Linked DNA regions of Coturnix japonica. The protein of the gene in region 3 binds, or shares a complex with, the protein of the main gene of each other region. Links are inferred from orthologs where the notes say so. Each region holds a gene or a part of one and is shown on either strand. Other genes may lie near its edges.

What was found.
Region 1: SMARCA2 (region 3) and SMARCC1 share a complex: the UniProt entries of both Homo sapiens proteins name them as parts of the BAF complex. The link is inferred for Coturnix japonica from reciprocal best matches to the Homo sapiens genes SMARCA2 and SMARCC1.
Region 2: SMARCA2 (region 3) and SMARCD2 share a complex: the UniProt entries of both Homo sapiens proteins name them as parts of the BAF complex. The link is inferred for Coturnix japonica from reciprocal best matches to the Homo sapiens genes SMARCA2 and SMARCD2.
Region 4: SMARCA2 (region 3) and SMARCD1 share a complex: the UniProt entries of both Homo sapiens proteins name them as parts of the BAF complex. The link is inferred for Coturnix japonica from reciprocal best matches to the Homo sapiens genes SMARCA2 and SMARCD1.

The regions. Positions count from the first base shown.
Region 1 is NC_029517.1:723,137-728,374, forward strand, and holds part of SMARCC1 (SWI/SNF complex subunit SMARCC1), read left to right. Parts: intron 1-452; coding exon 453-566; intron 567-1,392; coding exon 1,393-1,546; intron 1,547-2,194; coding exon 2,195-2,308; intron 2,309-2,736; coding exon 2,737-2,796; intron 2,797-5,238. UniProt on the Homo sapiens protein: Involved in transcriptional activation and repression of select genes by chromatin remodeling (alteration of DNA-nucleosome topology).
Region 2 is NC_029542.1:1,259,970-1,265,718, forward strand, and holds the start of SMARCD2 (SWI/SNF-related matrix-associated actin-dependent regulator of chromatin subfamily D member 2), read right to left. Parts: upstream 3,581-5,749; 5' UTR 3,442-3,580; coding exon 3,274-3,441; intron 1-3,273. UniProt on the Homo sapiens protein: Involved in transcriptional activation and repression of select genes by chromatin remodeling (alteration of DNA-nucleosome topology).
Region 3 is NC_029547.1:23,945,496-23,951,257, forward strand, and holds the start of SMARCA2 (probable global transcription activator SNF2L2), read left to right. Parts: upstream 1-2,279; 5' UTR 2,280-2,432; intron 2,433-3,846; 5' UTR 3,847-3,990; intron 3,991-4,171; exon of another isoform or gene 4,172-4,265; intron 4,266-4,406; exon of another isoform or gene 4,407-4,525; intron 4,526-5,762. UniProt on the Homo sapiens protein: ATPase involved in transcriptional activation and repression of select genes by chromatin remodeling (alteration of DNA-nucleosome topology).
Region 4 is NC_029544.1:347,392-353,249, forward strand, and holds the start of SMARCD1 (SWI/SNF-related matrix-associated actin-dependent regulator of chromatin subfamily D member 1), read right to left. Parts: upstream 3,399-5,858; 5' UTR 3,363-3,398; coding exon 3,195-3,362; intron 3,075-3,194; coding exon 2,887-3,074; intron 1,717-2,886; coding exon 1,674-1,716; intron 1,577-1,673; coding exon 1,454-1,576; intron 1,185-1,453; coding exon 1,056-1,184; intron 569-1,055; coding exon 452-568; intron 122-451; coding exon 20-121; intron 1-19. UniProt on the Homo sapiens protein: Involved in transcriptional activation and repression of select genes by chromatin remodeling (alteration of DNA-nucleosome topology).

The DNA.
Region 1 (5,238 bases), on a different chromosome or scaffold from region 3:
CCAATGCCTGGAGGTGTTCAAGGCCAGCTTGGATGGATGGCCCTGCACAGCCTGGCCTAGTATTAGATATGGAGGTTGGTGTTTGCATAGGATCCTGCCTGTGTTTGTTTGCATATTTGCTTTTGTTCAGTGTAAGGAACAGAGATAACAAGTGGTGTTATGGTAGTTCTTACTGTGAGCACTTTGTATGAGGAAGCATCAGTACATTGCAGAAACACATTGAAGAAGGCTCAGCAGTGTTTATGGGGCAGGAATGGGCTGAACCCCACAGCTTGCTCACTCAGACTGCTCTGAAGCATGGGGGCAGCTCCTGCTTCAGCCCTTCCCAGCTCTGTGCATGGGGAGTGCTGGATCAGTAATAAGGTTGTTAGGAGAAGATGAATCCTAAAAGACATGATAAACTCCGTTAGGCATCAGCATACAATGTGAGCTGTGTCCCACCTGTCTTCCAGATACCTGGCTTACCGCAACTTCATGATCGACACCTATCGCCTGAACCCGCAGGAGTACCTGACCAGCACCGCCTGCAGGAGGAACCTGACGGGAGATGTGTGTGCTGTCATGAGGTGAGGGAACATCCATCTTTCAGCCAGTGCTTGCATTAGAAGAAAAGGAAATAGCGCGGCTTTGGTAATGGAAATGCTCTGGTAGGCAGGATAGGTGTGGGTAGCGGAATCAATTGAGTTTGAAGAGGCCATTTAAGGTCATCTAGTCCAGTTCCCCTGCACTGAACAGGGGCACTACAGCTGGCTCAAGTTGCTCAGAGCCCATCCAGCCTGGCCCATCCATCCAGTAGCCATTGTGCTGTCACTTTAGCAGTCTGTTCAGCCTCCTCTTGTAACCAGAGTATGTTATACTGTCCTTTATTTATGGAGTTCTGGGTGCTCGGTGAACCTACAGAGTTGGGGTCTTAACCTTTAGTGTCTGCTCTTTATTAAGCGTGTGGAGTTCATTTCAGAGTTCCTGGGTCTGCAGTTCAGTTTGGTTGGTTTGCTGTGTTTCACCAGATTTAAGTTGTGAGGTGCAGCAGAGCCCTGAAATCTCAGAACTTGCTGATGGTAGATCCAATATGAACAGCTACAGGTGGGTGAGAGAAGAAAGGGGTTGTGCAGCCCTCACATTGGTATGATGTCTGCAGATGGCTCCACATATGCAGCCTGAGCTTTACTTCATCTTTAAATAGATTTCCTGTTGTTCTGTTCCCGTGCTATATGCTAGGTGTCATGCTGGAGAGGTAATCAAGTCCACACAGTATGCCATATTTATTGCTCTTGTGATCAGTGAAGGTCTGTAGGAGGTGATGAGCCAATCTGATCCAAAACCAACCATTCCTTGGCTGTCTTTGCAGTCTTGCTTTGTTTCTTAAGATGTGGGTTTGTCCTGTTGTTTCAGAGTGCACGCTTTTCTGGAGCAGTGGGGTCTCATCAACTACCAGGTGGACCCGGAGAGCCGCCCCATGGCCATGGGCCCTCCTCCCACCCCTCACTTCAACGTGCTGGCCGATACACCCTCCGGCCTCATGCCTCTGCACATCCGTACCCCACAGGTGAGCCCTGCAGTGCCCTGGGGGTGGGAGGTGGCAGCTCTGGTCAGTGTCGTGCAGGAGAGTCTGCACATGTTGCTCATGGAAGGTGTTCATGAGTTCAGAATGGGTCAGTTGAGTCATATCGTATCATATCATAGACTGGCCTGGGCTGAAAAGGCCCACAGTGCTCATCGCATTCCAACCCCCTGCTGTGTGCAGGGTCAGCAACCAGCAGCCCAGGCTGCCCAGAGCCACATCCAGCCTGGCCTTGAATGCCTGCAGGGATGGGGCATCCACAGCCTCCTTGGGCAACCTGTTCCAGTGCATCACCACCCTCTGGGTGAAAAGCTTCCTCCTAAGATCCAACCTAAACCTCCCCTGTCTCAGTTTAAAACCATTCCTCCTTGTCTTATCGCTGCCCACCCTCACAAAAAGCCATTCCCCCTCCTGTTTATACACTCCCTTCAAGTACTGGAAGGCTGCAGTGAGGTCTCCGTGGAGCCTCCTCTCCTGAATCAGATCCGCACTGATGCTGTGTAAAGACATCTCCATAACTCATCATGTTGAGCTGTTTTGTTGGTTCTGTGTTGTGCTCAACCTTTGTCTGTAAACTTGGGGGATCCCTTTCAGCTCCTGACACTCCGTCCTTCCTTTCATGTTTGCTCACAGATCCCAGCTGCTCAGCAGATGCTGAGTTTTCCTGAGAAGAACAAAGAGAAACCCACTGACCTGCAGAACTTTGGGCTGCGCACAGATATTTACTCAAAAAAGACCTTAGCAAAGGTAAGTGCGTTTGGATTTCTGTTCCCCTGTGGCTTCTATTAAGTGGGTTCTATCAGTTGTCCTCCTCCAGATGACAGTGAAATGACTCGTTACTCTCAGATTCCCACTTCAGTTCTCACTGGAGGACACTGAGATGCCTCGCTGTATTCATGTTGGGTAAACAGTTTTGAAGGAGAGGACCACGTGCCTGTCCCAAACTACTCAGTGCTGTCAGTCTACAGACACTGAATTTGTGTTATCCTTATTTGATATTTTAATTGAATGCTTCGAAGTCAGCCAGGTGTCAAATAATTCAGTACAGAACCAAGAATCTTTCAGCAGAATCTTGAGTATAGAACTCAGGATCTGTCAGCAAAGTGCAATGTCTGGCACTTGGGCTGGAGGAATCCCAGTCATGAATACAATTGTGTTTTCCTCATCTTTTATAGAGTAAAGGTGCCAGTGCTGGAAGAGAATGGACGGAGCAGGAGACGCTGCTGCTGTTAGAAGTAAGTTCCTGGGGGAAAATGTAAGGCCAGGAGACAAAACCATGTAGGATTTTATACAGTAAGGAAAATGGACACGGAGGTTTAGTGGGTTCTTTTGAAGTCGGGGCAGATGGCAACAACATCCTTTTTGCTGCAGTTCTGAGACCCGGCAGACGTAGCTGGAGGGATGGGTGGTGGAGCTGTGTGTGCACGAGGCTGCCTGCTGCTGCTGTGCCTTTGGAGCTGGTAAAAGGCTGGGGCTCTCCCTTGAAGCTGTATCTCTTTCTTTGTCCGTCATCTCTACCAGAGCGCTGCTGCTACACAGATAGAGTGGAAGCATCTTGTACTGAGGGGACATTATGTTCTTTAAGGTTCACTTCTATCTGATTGTAGCTACAGCCCAGGAATTAAATGCTTAGATATGTTTGCACAGAGTCGAGAGCAGGTCTTGCAATGCAGGGAGGTCTTTGCATTGAGCAGCAGTTAGCAGCACACTGTGCCCTTCAAGGAATGGTTTATCTGCATGTAAGAACATGGAGAAGTTCTCTTGATCTTTCCAGGCTCTCCAATAAGCCATAACATGTTACAGGGAGCTGCAAACAGCCGCTCTGGAAGTTGAATTATTTAACACGCAGATTGTTTTCCTGTGCTCTGCCTCTTAATAAAGGAAGCTTTTAATTTGGTAGCCCTTGCATCCAGCACGTTAATTCATTCCAGGTGTGGCTGTCAGTCTGCACACTGCTCCATTCGGCCTGGGGAAGGACTTTGCTTATGGGGGAGAACAGTGAGGATGTGCTGTTCTGGCAGGGCTAATCTCAATGTGCTGCCTTCTTTTACTCCTGTTCCTGATAGGAAATGCTGGTGCCTCACACACAGCAAGCAGCCACCTCATGAAGTAATCCAGGCAGCATATTCATTTTTCTTTTAGGAAAACAAACAAAGCCTTGAGATTGCAAATGTATTTAATGCGAGTTTCAATTATTAATGTTCCTCATTCTTTGTGGATTTAACCTATGAATTAATCAGTACAGAGAGAATATCAGTTCAAGCGTAAGTAATGCAGCTGTAACGAGGCAGCTTGGTCCAATTAAATCCTCGGGGCGGCTTTGGGCAAATATCTGTGTGGTGCAGTTCCAAAGAGCAAATGGTACCTAAAATAGTCATCTCAAATAATGCCCATCCTTCCTCCTGTTGGCTGAGCAATGGGAGGGGTTGGCTTTCCCTGCCTGCCCCACTGCTCTGCCCCTCCGTGGTGTTCCAGAGCTCTCAGCTATTCCTAATAGGACTACAGAAATCTACCAGGGAGTGAAGGAGAATGAGTAGAAACCTTTCACGTGGCTGCAGGACGCAGCACTCGATCTGATGTGCTGAGTGGCTGCAGTGGGGATGTGATGACACGTGGTGGGATGGATTTAGGGAATGTGTGATGCTGAATGTGGGGTAAATGCTTCCCCACGAGTCTGACCCAGTGAATTGAGCAGTGTCACATTGCTTTAAACACTGCAGCAAGGGAGGCAGGAGGCTGGGGGAGCAGATCCTGAGCAGCTTGGGATCCTCAGTTCCAGAGGAGCTTGTCTGAACCAAATCCTTCTTCTGCTGGGCTTTTAAAGCCCCTCCTCTCATCTGCCCTGTGGGCTGCAAGGTCTTGTGCTGTTCTTTCCCCCCAGCTCAGCTCAGCTGGAGCACAGCTTCCCTGGGCAGGGGTGGCCCATCTCACCTCGGCACTGAGTTGCCTGCTATGCTGGGCATGGTGGTGATGGGCTGACCCAGACGTGGTGACCTCAGAGGGCTGTTCTTACCTTAACCAGTCTGTGCTCCTGCTCGCTTAGGGAAGCTCAGATGTCATGGGGAGGTTGGTGGGGAGCAGGAGGGCTCTGTCTGCTGCACTACATCCTACATGCAGACGTGTGCCTGAGAAGCCCACAGCTGCCAGGATTATCACAGGGATCCTCCATGATCTCATGATGTAACACTTAGTAGTTCCAATGTGGCTCTTCCCTTGCCCTGAATTACTGCTGGGACACCCAGCTGTTTGTTGTGAGGAGATGCACAAACAGCTGCCCTTTATTTCTGCTGTACTGCTCAGTGTAAGTAAAAACCAAGTAGGCTTCCAAGCCAGTTACACTGAACTGGAAACAGAGGTGAGACCCAATGAACAGGCTGATGGATGATGGATGCCCCATCCCTGCAGGCATTCAAGGCCAGGCTGGATGTGGCTCTGGGCAGCCTGGGCTGCTGGTTGCTGACCCTGCACACAGCAGGGGGTTGGAATGGATGAGCACTGTGGGCCTGTGCAACCCAGGCCATGCTGTGATCCTGCGATTTTCCTTTTTTCCTGGTGTATTGGTCTGATGCTCTTTCATTTTCCTACCATCTGCTGAATGGAGGGGTTGGACTTTGCCATCACATTCAGAACACATCTGTGAAATAAATACAGTTTCTGCCCCAAAGAGCTCAGTGCAT
Region 2 (5,749 bases), on a different chromosome or scaffold from region 3:
CAATGCCAGGACCACGAGCAGGGTGTGAGCTCCCCAGCATGCAAGAAGGCTGCAATGCATTGAGCACCAGCAGCTCCCTGCTGGCTCCCCAAGCAGAGCCTTGAGGAAGGCTCATAAAACCCCCCAAACTGCATCGAGCTGTCCTGATGCAATGCCCCATTTCCACTCAGTTTGCTCTTGGCACCCACTAAATAATTGGGGAATGAAAACCCATGTGTGTGTCCTCACCCAAAAGGTGCCGGGGGGCAGCTCTTCCTGCCAGCCCCCCCTGTGCATCCCACATCACTTCCTGCTGTGGTGTGGGCTAAAGCAAACCCTGCCCCAACAACAGGAACCCAGCTCTGCACTGGGCTGCTCAGCCCCAACAAAAGCACTGCTTGGGATGAACTGAAACCCCTGCAGCACACCCCAAAACACTTGCATTGCAAACCCCATCCTGCAAGGGGAGGAGACAAAGTGAACATGAGCAGGAAGCTGTTGCTGCTGGTGAGGCGTCCGTCCTTCGCTGCAAGCTCTTGGATGCAGGCAGGCTGCTGCGATGCTCAGATCAGCTGCAATCCAGTGCTCCAGCAGCAGGAGCCTCAGCTACAAAACTTGGTGAGGAAGCATTAAATTAAAGAGCGGACAGCAAAGCAACAGGCAGCGAAGCCGAGCAGACTGAGGACACGTGCTGGCAACACGTCAAGCACCAGCTGAGATATCTGGGCTCAGGCAAACTTGCCCACGTGTGGCTTTGCAGCTGCAGATGATCCAGGTCATGGGCTGCAAGCAGTGCAGGCTGCAGCGCTCACACCAGGACCCAGCAGCCATGCTGACACTGAAGGGGAAAGGCCACATTAAGTGAAGTTTTCTCAGCAGCTTCCACACCGCAGGGACTTGGCAAGAGAACAGAAGGGATGCACGAGTTACAGCCTGGGACTTTCACCTCGTGCTGATGGCCATGGAGAGCACAGGGTAAGAGGGGGAAGGAGGTGTAAAACAAAGAGCAACCTAAGGAACAGAGGCTGCAGCAGGCAGAGAAAGAACTCAGGGGATTTATGCCTTAAACACAAGCAGGAACAAGGAAGAAAGGTGTTGGGTTCCTGCTTGAAAACGTGGCAGCCTCAAGTAATACAAAGGGGGAAGCAATGGGAAGAGTGGAAAACACTGCTCAGATGTGCAGGGAAAGGCTCTGAGGGTCCCTATGGAGGAAGACAGAGCAAAGGCCTCCAGCAGGAAGCTTTGGAGATGCTCCCACCGAGCAGAACCTCCATGAGCCTTAAGGAGAAACAAAGGGTGCCCTGAGCTCTGCTGCTGCCTGCTTCTATCCAGCACTGAGAGCACAGCATTGCTCTGCTTTGTGTCACGGCTTCATTCTGCTGGATGCTCAGCCTCTGATGAAACCTGCCTTGGAAACAGTCCCCCACTGGGAAGGGTGGGTCATGCAGCAATGCAAGCTGCAGATCCCTGCTGTGTGCTGCACTTCCAGCCTTGCTGCCGTCCCCAGGCCAACCATGGGACAAGCACCCAGCTCTCCTCTCCTAATGGGATCCAGCAGGTCTGTTTGGAAGCAGAAAGCTCCAACTCCTTCCATGCACAGCCACGCTTCCTCCAATATCACTTTGTTAGCAGTTGTTTGGCTTGCAACAGCCCTTCCGTCCCACGGAAATGGGATTCCTGCTTGTCAGCAAGTGCCAATGAAATGCTTTTAACGGGGCACTTCATTAACTCCACTTCTTCTTTTTTTTGCCACTGATCTACGCCAGCAAAGCGACAGCACAGGGCAACCTCAAGGCCATTCTGCACAGCCCCTCCTCCACTGCATCACAGAGCTGAGCCCATTCCCTACCACAGCATCAACCTGATAACTCGGGAAGGATCTCCCAAGCCTGAAACCTCCATTACAACAAACAGAGGGAACTCCTGATGGATTTATGCTAACCTGAGCCTTGGGATGGGGGTGGACACACCACCGTGCAGCTGATCGCCCATTGCATGAACACACTCCCACTCCTTTCTGCTCTGGAAACATCAGTGCTAGAGTGAGTTGTCCTCCCCATTTCCCTTCTTGAGCTGCTGGTGCATAGCCAGGCAGGCAAGGGATGTCAAAGGATTAACATACATTTAATAATCCACTGATTAAAGAGCCCCTAAGCACCCGCTGCCATACATGAGGGCTGCTGTGTTCTCCTAGCCAGCATAATGCAGCAGAAGGAGCCTGACTCACTGGTTACCCCCTGAGAAGTCCTGCGGGCACCGCAGTTTTGACCACTTGGTGGGGAGGAGCTGCTTTAAACAGGCCTGCAAATTGCAAAACAAAAGACAGACCGGATCGATCAGCCCCCAATCCCCTCCCTGTGCCAGCAAACTGCCGGCCAGACACGACAACAACGACTTGCATTACCCAAACACTGCAGCACTGCCATATGCTCCCAGTCTCACCCTACCCCATCCATACGCTCCCAACACCTGCCATGAGTGCAGTATTATGGCCAGCATGGGATAAGGGGGGGGGGTGAAAGCAAACATATGTGCCCCTGTTTACCCACAACAGAGCGATGCCCGCTGGGTTCTGCAACCTGGGAAGGTCGGGATGAAGCCTCCCTATAGCTCTGAGTCACATTACAGCCAATGCAGGGCCCTATTGGCCTGGCTGAGCTCATCTCAGTTTTCACTTCGGGGTTTTTCAGCTTCACGGGTTGTTTCTCCTCCTTTGATACAGCAGTTGGAAATTCCCCCCATGTGGATGACTGGATTTCTTCGGTTTGGAACTCAGAACTCATCGCAGAACGAGGCTTCTCCATAAACAACCCCACAACACGTGGGGGCTGAACCAACAGCAGAAAAGGCAGCAGAAAGAGAGCAGAGTCCACAGCTTCCAGCACTGCAGCGGGTCACATTTACTCCCCTTTATCCCCATTCCTTCCCTTTAACGTTCACCATCACAGCTCCATCTCCGGAGCTGGAAATGCACAAGGATGGCTGTGATGGACCCTCCTGGGCCAGGACCCCCACAGCACAGCCTGGGGGGGTACGGGACCACCTCCATAGGGCAGAACACTTCTCCGTTAACTTTTTAATGGGGGTGGGGGGCCAGGACAGCCGCCCCTATGGAGCCCCGCTCCCCCCCCACCGCCAGGGCCCCACGTTCAGGAAGCAGCGCCGCTTCCTCCGGGCCCAAAAGGCCTCTGAACCCCCACGGCCCCTTTGGAGGCCTCTAAGTAACCCCCCAATCCCACCTCCCACCTCCCATCCCCAATACAGAGCACAGAGCCGCCCCCCGCCCGCCCTCACCTGGTACTGCGCTCCCGAAGGCCCCATCGGACGATATCCCGGAGCGGCCCCGGAGGCCGGAGTCGGGTTGGGGCCTCTCATCATACCGGGTCCGGGCCCTGGAGGAGGAGGAGCGGCGGAGCCGGAGGGAGGCAGAGGGCTGAGAGGGAAAGCTCCACGGGCGGCCATGGCGGTGCTGGACCGGGCAGAACCGAACCGGGCCGGGCCTAAAGCTGGGGGGGCGGCCCGGCGCTGTTTACTCGGAAGCGGCGGCGCCCGGAGCGGAGGGAGCGCGCGGCGTGAGAAGCCACGCCCCCCACCCCCGATAAGCCACGCCCACTCCCACGATAAGCCACGCCCACTCCCACATTAAGCCACGCCCACTCCCACATTAAGCCACGCCCCTCCGCTAAACCACGCCCTCAGAGAAAAAAGCCACGCCCCCCGATAACCCACGCCCCGATAAGCCACACCCGTTCACGCCCTATCCTATAAGCCACGCCCTCCACTAAAGCCACACCCTTCACTAAGCCACGCCCCACCCAATAAGCCACGCCCCAAAGCAAAAGCCACGCCTCCGATAAGCCACACCCCGTTCACTAAGCCACGCCCCCTCCGATAAAACCACGCCCCTTCCACTAAGCCACGCCCCCAGAGCAAAGCCACGCCCCCCAATAAACCACGCCCATCCACTAAGCCAAGCTAACTCCAATAAGCCACGCCCCTTCCATAAGCCACGCCCCCTTCAATAAGCCACGCCCCTTCCAATAATCCACGCCCCTCCGCTAAGCCACGCCCCCAGAGCAAAGCCACGCCCCCTCTGCCAAGCCACACCCCCTCAAAAGCCGCCACTAAGCCACGCCCCCTCCAATAAGCCACACCACTTCACTAAGCCACGCCCCTTCACTAAGCCACGCCCCCTCTGTGTGGCCACGCCCCTTAAACAAAGCCCCGCCCACTTGTGAGGCCCCGCCCCCATTGGCTGTATGTGTGCACATGTGTGTGATTGTGTGCACATATCTCTGCCAGCATGTGTGTGTTTGCATGTTTAGGGCCGTGTATGCATCTGATATGTGCATATGTGTGCACACGTGTGTGCATATGCGTGCCCACTCTGCATGCATGTGTGTGTATGTGTACATGTGTGCACGTGTTCATAATAGTGTACATGTGTGTTCATATGTGTTTTCCTGAGTACATGTACGTACGTGTGTACATGTGTGTGCATGTATGTGTGTATGTGTGTGGGTGGTGTAAACACATCTGCATGTGTGCATGGATGTGCATGGGTACATGTGTTAGCATGTGTGTACACGTGTGTAGCTGTTAGTGCATGTGATTATATGTGCATATGATTGCATGTATGTTCATACATGTGTGTGTGGGTGTATATGGATCTTCATGTGTACACCTCATGTATGTACCTCTGTGTGTATGTATGTACCTCCATGTGCAGGCATGTCCTTATGTGTATGTGTGCACATGTGTATTCACATGTTTGCATGTGCCTATATGTGCACATGTATGCACACACATGCACGTGTCTCTATGTGTATGCACACATGTGTACATGTGTGTAAATGTGCCTGCATGTGGACATGTGTGAGCATGTATGTAAGTGTGTACATGCATGTGCATGCGTGTCAGGGTATGTCCATGTGTTTTGATGCATACTTGTGTGTGCATGCATGTGCAGCTGTGCACACGTATGCATGCACATGTGTATGTACACAGCTGTGCACGTGTCCATGTGTGTGCACATGCTTGCATATGTGCCCACGTGTGCACGTGTGTTTGCACATGTGTTTGCACATGTGTCCACGTGTGCATGCACCATGCACGTGCAGGCATGTTGCTTTGCACTTTGGCTGTGCAAGTGTGTGTTTGCAGCCGTGCAGCTGGTTGTGCATGTCTCATAACTCACACTGGGGGCAGCTCGTTGCCTCCCAGTCCTGCACTCATTGCTCCCATTGCTCCAGCTCTGCTTCCAGCTCCTCATTGTGATTGATGAGCACCGATGCTTTGCTGGGGTTCCTCTTTGGATCTTCCCCTTTTCCACTCTCCCATCAGGTGCCACATCGTTAGCACAGGGTCAGAATGCAGAGCGAGCTGATTAAAGGACCTTTATGGAGGAGATAATTATCCCAGCCTCTTCTCCCTGTCACATAGCACAGGCTGATGCCTAATTAGGGAGACCCCCATTGGTGAGTTTGCACCCAACATGGAAACTTTCTTTCTGGATGCAAACTGGGAGCATCCATTGCGTGTTTGTTAATGAAAACTCCCTTTCAGGAGGTCAGCACGGTTCCTGGGGGCAGATAATGATTAACACATAGATTGCAGATCCATTCTGCCGGCCAAATCCTGCTTCTGGGGGTGGAAGGGAGGTGGTGAGCCTCTATGTTGTGCTGCTGGGGAGACGGAGGGATGGGAGGGTGGGGAAGGAAAGCAGCAGATCTGACAGGTGCTGCACATGCAGGAGAGCTGCAGGGTTCAA
Region 3 (5,762 bases):
TCAGGTGCCAAAACAAAGAATCAAGAAAGCAAGCCCCTATTTTCTGCCACTTCTGCTGCAATGGCTGTAACTGCTGGCAGAGAACACAAACTGTTGCAGCATGGCTTTCTTTTGAGGTAATGGTAGGTACAGCTACAACTGTAACTGCAGCCTATGACAATGATCTGCCAGTTTAGTTGAATATCTTTAATCCTGACAAAAGAAATAAATCCAACCTGTCAGTCAGTTTACACTCAGATTAATTCATACTTTACCAACGACCAAATGGAAAAAGTTTTACATTAACAATATCTGAGGTTTTGTTGTCCCAAATGGGCAAGAGAATTGGCTACCAGTGACCCCCTAAAATAAAGACAATTATTAATTAAACATAGTTACATTTATCTAAAAGCCTAATGAACAGCTTTTGCCTGTAAGACTAATTTTACTTTCCTTCCTTATTCCCTGTATCCTTTCTTGCAAACAACAAAGCAAAACCAAACAAAAAACAACTAAAAAACAGCCAACCATAAAAAAACAAAACAAAAAAACCCCCAAAAACACAACCCACAGAAACTGGCTCGAGCTGGTTTGTAATGGTTTGAATACTGCCCTGCACAGCACAGAAGCTTCCCCTCCATTGCTTGGGGTTTGCTTTCTCTTTGCAAAAAGTGCAGGGCCTACAGACTGACTCTGGGAATAGATAAAAACAAACATGCAAAGAATCCGCCCACCAAATACCTGTTTATAGTTATGGTATGACAAAAATTAAAAGAAAGAGGGAGAATCCTTTCAGCTGCGTTAGAATCAATTCCTAAAAGCCTGAACTATGTTCTTTCAGTTCAAAGAAGCTGGACTGCTACTTATAAAGTGGGGTTTAAAATTAAGTCCCACATCACTCGTGGATCACAGTTTCAAGCAGCGATAGTGGATACTTGTATACACAGAACTGAAAGCGTTTCCATTTATTTCGTCTGCACCTCGATGCTGCCCACAAAAACAGTGACGAACTGAGTACCTTCCCTAGTCGTTTTATTGGACACTCGGCGTTGCCCGGCGTTACCACTGATTGACAATTATCTATCGGTATTTTGGCAGTCACTCTGAAAAACAATCAAGACGAAGCTAATGATCGAGCGGTGACGCCTCAGAACACACAGCAACAACAGTCATTAACACTGCATCGCTAGGTTATAACCGGATGGTTACCGCTCACATTCCACCAGCAATAAAGGTCCAAAGCAACCACAGAATAACACCCGCCGGTGCTCCGGGTCCTTAAACCCAGTCACCAACTCCAGCACGTTAAACGCAGGCGGCAGAGGGGAGAGGCACGCTTTCCTTCACTTTAAACTTGATCTCTTGCAAAGCCCGCAGTAGGACGGGCACATCACCTGCACAGCGGCAGCCTCGGAGTCAGGACCGCGCGTTCAGCCGCGCTCTGCCTGCCGGCGTGCTTATGTCTGAGCAGCCCGTGACGGCCTGTTCCGAGCGCGGCCCCGCGGCGCCGTTACATAAACAGCGGTACCTTCCGCAAACAGCGCCGGCGACGCGCCGCCTCCTGTGGGTACGTGGCCGGGCACGGATAAAGCCCCTCCGGCCCGGGGAGCGAGCAGCGTGCCGACAGCGGGGGACAAGGAGCGGCACGGCGGCGCCATTTACCCGCCCGCACCGTGCCGACACCGACCCGCCGCCGCTCCTCCCGGCGGCACGGGGCTCCGGCGGGGCTCGGCACCGCAGCTGGACAGGGGGCGACCGCCCTGAACGTTCTCGGCCGCCTCCTGACCGCGCCACGGCTGCGGCCCCGAAGTTTCGGTATCGCGTTTCCGCGAGCCTTTTTGTTTGTGTGTGTGCGTCCCTTCCCGCAGGTGTCCCGCAGCGCACACCGCCAGGTGCGGGAGGCCCCGCCGCCCTCCGCCCGGCTCCTCCCCGCTCCGCCCCGCGGCGGCGGGCCGGCCCAGGCAGGCCGCGGGGCAGCGTCGCGCTTCCAGCACCTTCTCCACCTCTCCCCACGCCGCCCGCCGGCGCCTCCTCACGGAGGTGGCCCCAGCCCCGCGCTCCGCTCCGCGCGGGCGGGCCGGGAGGCGGCGTGGCGGAGCCTCGGCGGCGGCGCGGCTGTCGCGGGCAGAGCCGGGCGCATACCGCACCTCCCCGCCCTACGGCCTCCCGGCTGAGCGACGGGCGGCGGCAGCCAATAGGGGCGCCGGCTCCGCGCTGGGGGGCGGGCAGACCCCGCCGGCGGGCCAGTGGGAACGGCGCTTCCTGAGCAGCGGCGGCGTCGGCGCGGGGAGGCGGCGGAGGGGGCCGTGGGCGGGGCCGGAGTTTGGGAAGCGGAGGGAATGGCTGTCACCGGTGAAGTCATGCTCGGCGCCTAGCCGCTCTCCGTCCCCGCTCCGCTGCTCGCCCAGAGGCAGCGGCGCGACACCCGGCGCGGCGCTCCGCCCGAGCGGAAGGTAAACGCACCTCGCCCCGCGGGGCCCCGCGCCGTCAGCTCCGTACCCGCCAGCTCCGTTCCGCCGCCCCGCGCGTTCACGGAGCGCAGCCCCGGCCGCCCCCCGCCCGGTACGCCCCGGTGTGCGCACCGCCAGCGCGGCGCGGGGAGAACAAAGTTTGGCTGCGGTGTCGGGGGAATAAGCCCCGCGCGCACCGCCAGCCGGGGAATGGGACAGAGACCGCCCGCCAGCGCCGTTCGGCCGCGGGTTTTTGGCTCCGTCCGCAGCGGGGACGGAGTCGGAGTGCGGAGCAGCGGCCGGGGCCGCCCGCCCCTTCCCCACCGCGGCTGCGTGGCTCGGGGAAGTTGTGGCGTCCTGCGGCTGAGCGCGGTGCGGGGCTGTCTCCGCAGCGCTGCTGGCAGCGGGAGGCCGCGGGCTGGGCGCCTGTCACGGCGCGGGAGGGAGGAGGGAGGGCAGGCAGGGAGGGCCGCGGCCCCGCGCGGGGCTTCCGCTGCCTCCGGTCTGCTCCCCGCGGGCACCGCGCCTGCCCGGCCCCCGCCCCGCACAGCGACATACGCACACACACACACACAGACACACACAACGTGCGCTCGCGGTTTGGCGATCGCCTTAACAAGCGAAAAGCGTTTTATTTCCGGTGTGCGCGGAAATTTATTTATTTATTTATTTTTAATTCGGTCGGACCAGCCGCCGGTACGGGACGCGGCGCCGCGCAGCGCCCTGCCGTGCCGGCCGAGCTCGGCACCTGGAAAAGTTCTGTCCTCGCCGGGGCGGCGGCGGACGATCAGGAAGCGGCCCCCTCCGCGCACGGACGCGTTGGGTGGCGGTGACATGGTGGCGGGGGCGCGGGGCGGCGGGGCTCGGGGCCGGGCTCTGCCCTGAGGCGTGCCCCCGGGGGAGCCCGCCCGCCGCCGCACCCCGCCGCGGTACGGAGCCACACGGCCCGGCCGGGCGGAGGGACGGAGCGGGGCCGCGTCTCCTTGCGCTGTGCAGCCTCTGGGCCGTGCCGAAAACTTTCCGAGAAGGCCGGAGGGGCGCGCGGGGCCCGGCGGGGTGCAGCCCGCCGCCTCGCCGAGGCCTACGTTCCTCGGCCGGGCCGGAAGCCGCTTGGCGCTGCCGAGGCGCTGCCCTGCCCCGCGCGGGCGGTGCGTAGCGGTCCCGCGGACGCCGTCCGGGAGCCCGCGAGCGGGGCCGGACCGACGGCGAAGAGCGGAGCGGAGCGGACGGGCTTCGGGTTCTGACTGCTCCCCCTCCCCCCCAAATTTGTCATGGTGGAATGGCAGTCTGTGCACAGCTGGGAAAGTTACGGTCCTTCACGCTGCAGCCGAAGTTACCGTTAAATGCTTTTTTTTTTTTTTNTTTTTTTTTTTTTTTTTTTCTCCTCCCTCTCCTTTCCAATTTGCTTTCTGCGAAGCGCGCATCGTTATTAAGTAATTAGTCTCGTTCCGTGTCGGTTGTTGTGGCCGCGCGATTCGCCTCGGCATCGGCTGTTGACGACACGCAGCCTCGCCGAACTTCGGTGAACACCGCGTTTTTTGTCTTTCCGCGAATACTTTGGGTAAGTAAATAACCGGAGAAAGGGAACGGTAAAACAGCGATCGGTTTTCATCTAATTATTTATTTATTTTTTATTTTTTTTTTACCACTGGAAGTAGTGTGCGCGCTTTCTGCAAAAAAGTGACGTAGGACCTGTGACACCGCCTTGTGCCATTTGCAATCTCTTTTGTTTTTGTTTCCAGTTTGTTCGTGTCGTTTAGCGTTACCCACAGCCTCTGTGGCCCAGGCAAACACACGTTTCGGAGCCGAGTTCCCTCAGTAGTGCACCAGTCCGAGGTGGGGCCGTCGCTGCCGTGTGAGCCGGGCATTGTTATGCAAATCGAGGCACACTTTCTCTTCGGGAGCCTAATTGCCCCCTTACTGTCTTTGACTTCTTTTCTTTTGTCCTTTTGTGATTCTGTGCGAAAAATGATGTAGGAGAGTGGTAGCGGTGAAGACCGGGTTGTGTCAGCAATAGAAGGAAAGATCGAATAATGAACGTTTTAAAATACATCCAGGGTTGGGTGTATCACACAGAATGCGTGGACGTGACAGAGGTGAGGTTAAAGCTTCATTAAATCCAGCGTTTCTCTCATGAGTTGTTATGTCTCAGCTTCAGTATTGGTGTTTCTGTGGTGTTTCATAGAACATATGCGCCAGAAGAGTGTGTTCAAAGTAGTCTCAGATCTTTTCTTTTGTTCATTTCTGAAGTGGTCTGTGAGCATTTCTTGTGAAGTTTGAAAAACGCTTTGACCAACGCCTGAGGCTTGAAGTTGACAAGAGGAAAAAGTGCTCCAGCTAACACTCATATGAAATACGTTCTTGACAAAGGTGTACATGAAATTAACATTTCTAGATATATTTTCTCAGGTTTTGTTGAAGTTAAGGTCACAATACGCGTGGTCTGCACTTCTTCCATCAGTGTTCATGGCCTGAACTATCAGTGTTGCTGTGAACTAGCAATCCTAAACTGAAAAAGACTTTTATTCTTTAAATGAATTTGGACATCTTTGCAGATTGCTTGTTAAAACACCTTTTTTTTTCCTTCTTTTTTTCTTTTTTGGCGTGCGTGTGTGTTCTTTCTGTATGGAGTGTTTCTTGGACATACATCTCTTCTGTATCAGTCTTATTTTTCAGTTGTTCAGTTGATCCTCCAGCGGGATGAGAAGAACAGTGTTACAACATAAAGACCGCTTGTCGTGAAAATGGCAGCAGAGAACAGTTTATGTCTTATTTGCAAGCCATAAAATAAGGAAGGATGATTTTGGAGAAAGAAGCAAGGCTCTTCAGACACAGCTCTGGTAGTCTGCTGGTGTAGCAGGATTAGAAGACTAAGACTGAAAATTGTTTTTATTTTTTCTAACACATTTAAAGTCTACTCTTCTTGTGGATAAACGTTTTGCTCTGAGTGTGTCCCTGCACATTACTGTGGGGTTGCAGCACCTAGGTGAATCATTTAGAGCCAGGATCTCTAGGGCAAATGCTAAGAACATTTCTTGTCATGAAAATGATGCCTTTGCCTCATCTTTGTTGATATTTTATTTTAAACAACTCATAGTAAGAAACAGCTTTCTTCCTTCTTTTCTTCCCCATCTAAATAGAGACCTGTAATTAATTCCTTTCCCTCTGCCTACCTCTAATTGTGGCTTTTGTTTTTCAGAGTCTGACACGAAGATGATGTTCACTAATCATCATTAATACTTGTAGAAAAGGTCACTGTATGGAAACTTAATCTATAATCAATCAGTGCTGTCATGAGACAGTTCGCTGTGCCCTGGATGTACAATAGAACCT
Region 4 (5,858 bases), on a different chromosome or scaffold from region 3:
CTGCTATCCAGCATCTCACCTGGTAATCGAGCATCAGAAGGACAGTGCAGCGCACATTGACATCTCCTGGCCTCTTCACCTGGAAGCCATCTGTCTCCTGAGTTGTAGCAGTTCTGTGCCACTGGAATACGTGCAACAGGAGGGGGATTTAGCTGCACCTACACGCTCGATTCCTTTTGCTCCCGCTGCTTGCCACCCAACCTCCCCCACGACAGAAGATTCATCTTATTCCCATTTATAGTTTGAAACAAGAGTTAATGCATTTATTCAGAGCCCTGGCAAGTCAGTGGAAAAGCTAAGATAAGAATTCAAGAGAATTCAGCCCTGGCACCTAGCCACTTGTTAAAGCCTTAAATATCCCACTTCACAAGTTACCAACTACACACAAATTCAATCTGCTGGAACAACAACCCATTTGTAGAGATAATACAGCAAAAAGAAGCAAGCTCACCTCTACCAGGTGATTGTCAGGGCCATAGAGGTCTTTATCAAGTTCAATGACCAGAGATTTAAAGAAGGATGAGAACTTTCTTTTCTGTTTGGTGGCATCGTATTTGGACAAAGCAGACTGCAAGCAACACAGGAAGGAAGAGAGAGTCAGGAGAGCAAGTTCCAGGACTCAAGCACAGGCAAGGTGCACAGCAGTGTTCCTTTAAGTTGTGAACACTTACATTCATCAACACATGCTCGAAAATCAAGTTCCAAGTCAAAAATGGTGAAAGACTGGAGATAAAGATGAGCTTGGAGGAATTAACTTACTCAGCAATTACATAAAATGCGAGTGCCCTGGTTCTAAGAGCCAGGGTACACAAGTGCTACTGATCGGCTCTCACCATTAATTCTTATAGCTATAAGAACTTTGTATAACTCATGTTCTGCCATGGGGATACCCATCGGTCTCCGAGTTGGGCTCTCGGTCTCGTCACCATCAGACTCCTTGGAAAACAGAGATGAAGGAGGATATCAAGCCCTTAGCTACACTCCCAGACACTAAGAAACTGGTTCAATTTCCAATTCCAGACCCATCAAATCAGCTCTGCAGTTGGGTGCCTTACACTCACATCTTCTAGCAGCCTTCCTTCTACTCGAAGCTCCCAGGAGGCCACTGTTCCTTCACCATCCTCTGCATCCGACTTGGCTGGATTGAAGGTATTGGAGATAAAAATACGTAGCTTTCGCTTTTGCTACAAGAAAAAGCATCAGCTCAGTATTCATTCAGAAGCAAAGGGATGAGAATCATGCTTATGTTTTGTTAAAACTAAGCTAAATATTCTTCTTTTCCTCATACATCCACTCTCAGGACAAACAGCACAGAGAGAGGCAGTCTTGGTTCTACCCCCCCACTTAAGTCCTGGGCATTACAGTTCTCTCTATGCTTATAGGGTTATGACACAACCTTCAAAGCCCTCCTACTCTTCTGATAACAGTAAGTCTCTGAATGTCCCTCTCCTACCTTAATGGGTCGTTTCAAAGCCTCCTGGATATCCAAGCGTTTCCTCATGATCGTCTGGTCCAATTTCCTTTCAAAGGCCAGCAGGTCCATATAAGCTTGAGACTCAGGCACAAGTTCACGGATCTACAAGCAGAACACGAGCCAATCAAGAATGCAAATCACTGTCAGTTCCCCCACATCTCCATATCAGCAGAGGCTGTCAACTGCACATGCCACTCACCCTCTGAGGTAGAATTTTGTCTGCCATCTTCTTCTTTTTAGCACTGTAAAGTAAGGAGAGCATTAAAATGGCAACCATTCTGCTAATTAACACTGGACGTTCACAAAAGGAGCGAGATGAGGTTTGTGTTTTAGGACCAGGGCATCAGCAATGCTCTCAGCCCTGCAGCAGCTGATCGCCTTAATACATCCCCAAGGAAAGCAATGAAAGCAAGGCTGCATCATTGGAAAGGAAGCCTTATGGCTCAATGTGCTTTAGACAGACTTTTCTAGGAGACTCAGAGATGCATTACCAACGTTACCAAGGCATCACATTGTACTATCAGAAACTGAACATTAACTTGCTCTTGTCCAGCAGTTGCACATTACTTTTTTATCTGCTGGAAATTCCCCTCTACCAGAGACGAAGCTGCACGAGAACATCAAAGTTTCTTTCAGCCACCCAACAAAAAAAAAGCAGCAATGAGAGGCCCAGGCCTGGCTCTGCACACAGAAAAGCTTTGTGCTGCTCTGAGCAGCCAGCAGATGACACCAAGTCAGTGCTGACCCCTTCAGAGAGAGCCTGCAGCTCAGTGATGCCTGCCCTCACCCTGATACACAGATCTCGTCCCATGGGGCTTCATGAGGAGAGAAGCAATGTGTCCACGTCCACCTGGGGATGCCCTGAGCACCCTCAATGCTCTGGTGATGCACAGAGATACCTCGAAGACCCCTTGGACCCAAGGATGCCCTGAGACTCCTCTTTGCCCTCGGGGTGTCCTGAGGAACCCTGTTGCCATAGGAATGCCCAAGGATATGCCCAAGACTCATCTGCCATCCCAGGGATGTCCTCAGGACCCCTGCTGCTCTGAGGATGCCCAAGGGACATTTTGAGACCTTCACTGTTCCCTCCCCTGCCCTGGAGGAGCACAGGGAAGATCTGGGACCCTCATCTGCTCCAGGAACCCTTCCTATTTCAAGGATACCCAAGGATATCCTAAGCCTCCCACTGCCCTGGCAGCATCCTTTGGACACCCATTGCCCTGAGAACCCCCCTGTTGCCAAGAGGACACCCAACGATGTCCCCAGAGCCTTTCTACCCCATAGTTATCCTATGAATGACCCGAGCTCCTCCCCCCACTCACAGCTCTAAGGATGGCCAAGGATGCCCTGATCCCCCCCCCCCCCCCCCGCACCGTCTATTCCCTGAGCCCCCCAGCACCCCCGGTTCTTACTTGTGGTTGCGGTTGGGCACCGCCTGAGGCTGAACCTGCTGCAGTTGCTGCGGCGCTGGTCTCTTACGGGCCTGATCCAGGCCGGCCTGCGCCATACCGGGCCTCACTGCCGGGCTCCCACCGTACCCGGGCGGCCCCATAGAGGGGCCTTGCGGTGCCAAACGGCTGCCCGGTAACATCCCAGGGCGCTGCAAGGGGAAGAAAAAAGCCGTTCCAATGCCCACCCGGGGGGAAGCCGGCCCCGTCCTCGGCCCCGCCGCCCCCACTCCCTCCCGCCCCGCCCCGCAGCGGCCCCTCCCCTGCCTCACCGGGTAGGCGGCCCCTGGTAGAGGTGAGCGGTACAAGCCCTGTCCCGGGGCTGGGCCCATGCGCACCGGTCCGCCTGGTGTGCCCGGACCCAGCGCTCCGGTCCCGGTAGCGGCCCCGCCGCCTCCACCGCTGGGAGTCACTGACTGGAAGCCCGCCCGCGCCGCCATCTTGTCCAGCACAAAGAGGAGCGGGCCGGAACCGGAGCTCTGACATAGAGAGAGCGCGGACAGCGGCCTAGAGCGGCAACGGCTGCAGAGAGCGCCCCCTGCCGGCGGGAGGAACTGCGGGGGGTGGGAAGTAGTGGGTGGGGAGGGGGTCGTGGGTGGGTTTAAGGTTCACTACTGTGGGGGAATAGGGGCCTGGGGGAGTATGGCAAGGTTCTGGGGTGGGGGTGGGGGGTGTAGAGCGTGGGGAGGGCTGTGGGTGGGGGTAGAGGACTTGGAGAGGGCTATGGGATGGTGTTGGGTTTGGGGGTTTCAGAGACCATGGATGGGATGGGGTATTTGCAGGGGGGGATGTGTGGGAAGGGGCTGCGTCCTGGGGACATGCATGGACCATAGGAAAGTGTTTTGAGGGTGCAAGGTGCTGGAGGATGGTGCTCATTAAGCCTCGATGCTGTGACTGAGTTGGGGTGGGGGTCCCCTGTTCTTACAGGTGCTCTGTGCTCGTGTTTGGGGCTGCTTTGCTTAGGGCTGGGGATGCTTGGAGGAGGATTCCTCCCTCCCTCAGTAGAAGGCACAGCGCTGAATTAAAGGCCGCTTTTTGCAAGTATTAGCATTACTTTCCTTGTCCCCAGGGCACTCATCCGTGTGGTTGCTCATAGAGCAGAGGGACCTGCATCCAGCCTGCATTAATCCATGAATAAAATCCAAGAGAGCAGCCACACCGCAAGTATTAATTAAGCAATTAATGATAATCACAGGCCATTTAGGAAGCTGTCCTGTACAGTGCATGGCATTGTTGACTGAGGAGAAAAGTGGGGAGTTGTTGGCATCTTTTCCACCAAATTCAGTGTTTCTTGACCTCGATAGAAAACACGATGCCGTGAGCACAGCCATTAGCTGTTGTCTCAGCATCCGTGTGTCCGTGCAGTTAATGTAATGCCACCTCCAACACAGCCTTGGCGCCTGGCTGCCTGATGAAATATTCATGGTGAGGAGAAGCGGTGGAACTTATCTGCTCCGTATTGTTCAGATGCAGCAACTTCAAGTGAGGCTTAAAGCCCGGCAGGAGCCTTTGGACAGAGTTAGGAAGTGGCTGGGAGGGATATAGAAATAAGGAAGGGCTGAGCTGAGAAATGGTCTCTCTCCAGCAGCAGTTCCCTGTCTGCCTGGAACTGGGGAGCCCAGCACTGAGCCCAGTGCTCCAGTTGTGGCCTCCCCAGGGCAGAGCAGAGGGGAGGTGCACCTCCCTCCATCACCCTGCTGGCCAGGCTCTGTGCAGTGCACCCCAGGGTATCATTAGCCTTCTTGTCACACTCCTGGCTCATGGTTACCCCGTTGGCCACCAAGAGACCCACGTCTTTTTTTGCAGAGCTCCTTTCTCACAGCTCAGCCCTTGTCCACTCATCCAACCCACACTTAAGAGCTGTGGGTTCCTAAGAGCTGAGCACAGTGTTGCCCCAGCTCCCCCTCTCCAGGGACGTTCTGATGCCATTTCTCCTTGTCCTCTGTCATTAGCTGTGTTTCATAAGAAGCAAGGGAGGGTGAAATAACCCCAGTGTCTCCTTACACTTGTCCTTTCTCCTTCCCTCAGCCTGAGGGTTTGCTTGGTTCACTGCTCGGTGAAATGCTACCCGTGCACCTTCGTTTCCTGCACCTGCTGGCATGAGGCATCTCTGCTGAAACCTTCCCCAGCCCGCGTGGCTCTGGCTCCAGGCAGCCGAGCAGCATCCAGGGCTGTGTAATTATAGCCCAGTGCCTGTTTCTGCTGGCAGCGTTAGCAGAGAGCAAGTGGTAACCAGGAGTTATTGCTGTGGAGGAGAGGAGGTGATGCTATCAGTGCCGCCGCTATCTGCATGGTGCGTGATTAATCCTTGCTCTGTAGGGTTTCAGCAGCTACACAATCAGCCGTGTGCAAGCAGGTGCTTCCCAGCAACCTCAGGCTGAGGCGTGCAGCACCTTGTCCTCGCGTGCATTGTCAGTGATGCTTCCTGGGGAGTGTAATTAACTCCTTGTCTTGTGCGCAGTGTGCACCAACAGCCTTGGATGCACACTCTGCATGCATCACACACCTTGTAGCCCGCCAGCTGTTCACAGCCCATCCCTATAATCCTGAGCAATGCAAGGATCCTCGTTCCTGCTCTGGTGCTGTAAAGATGGTGTGTACATTGGAGCTTGGAGTCAGAAAATGTGCAGCTTGTCCACAACTCACATTGATTCCTGTCTGGCTTCTGGCCATGCACCCATTCCTCACCTATTGCTGGCTCCAGGGCTGCAAAGACCCCAGGCAGAGGCTGAGGATGCAATGTGAGGTTGAGGTGGTTGGAACCCAGCACATTTTTAGGCTGCTGGGGAAGGGACAGTGGGGTCAGGGCTGCTGCCTGCCCCTGCAGCAGGGGCTGCTGAGTGCCACTGCAGAGGTAGCAAGCATAGTGAGCTGCTCTGGCTTCACAGTGTCTGGCTGCAATTAATTTAGGTTCATTAACTCCCTTCTGGGCTTAG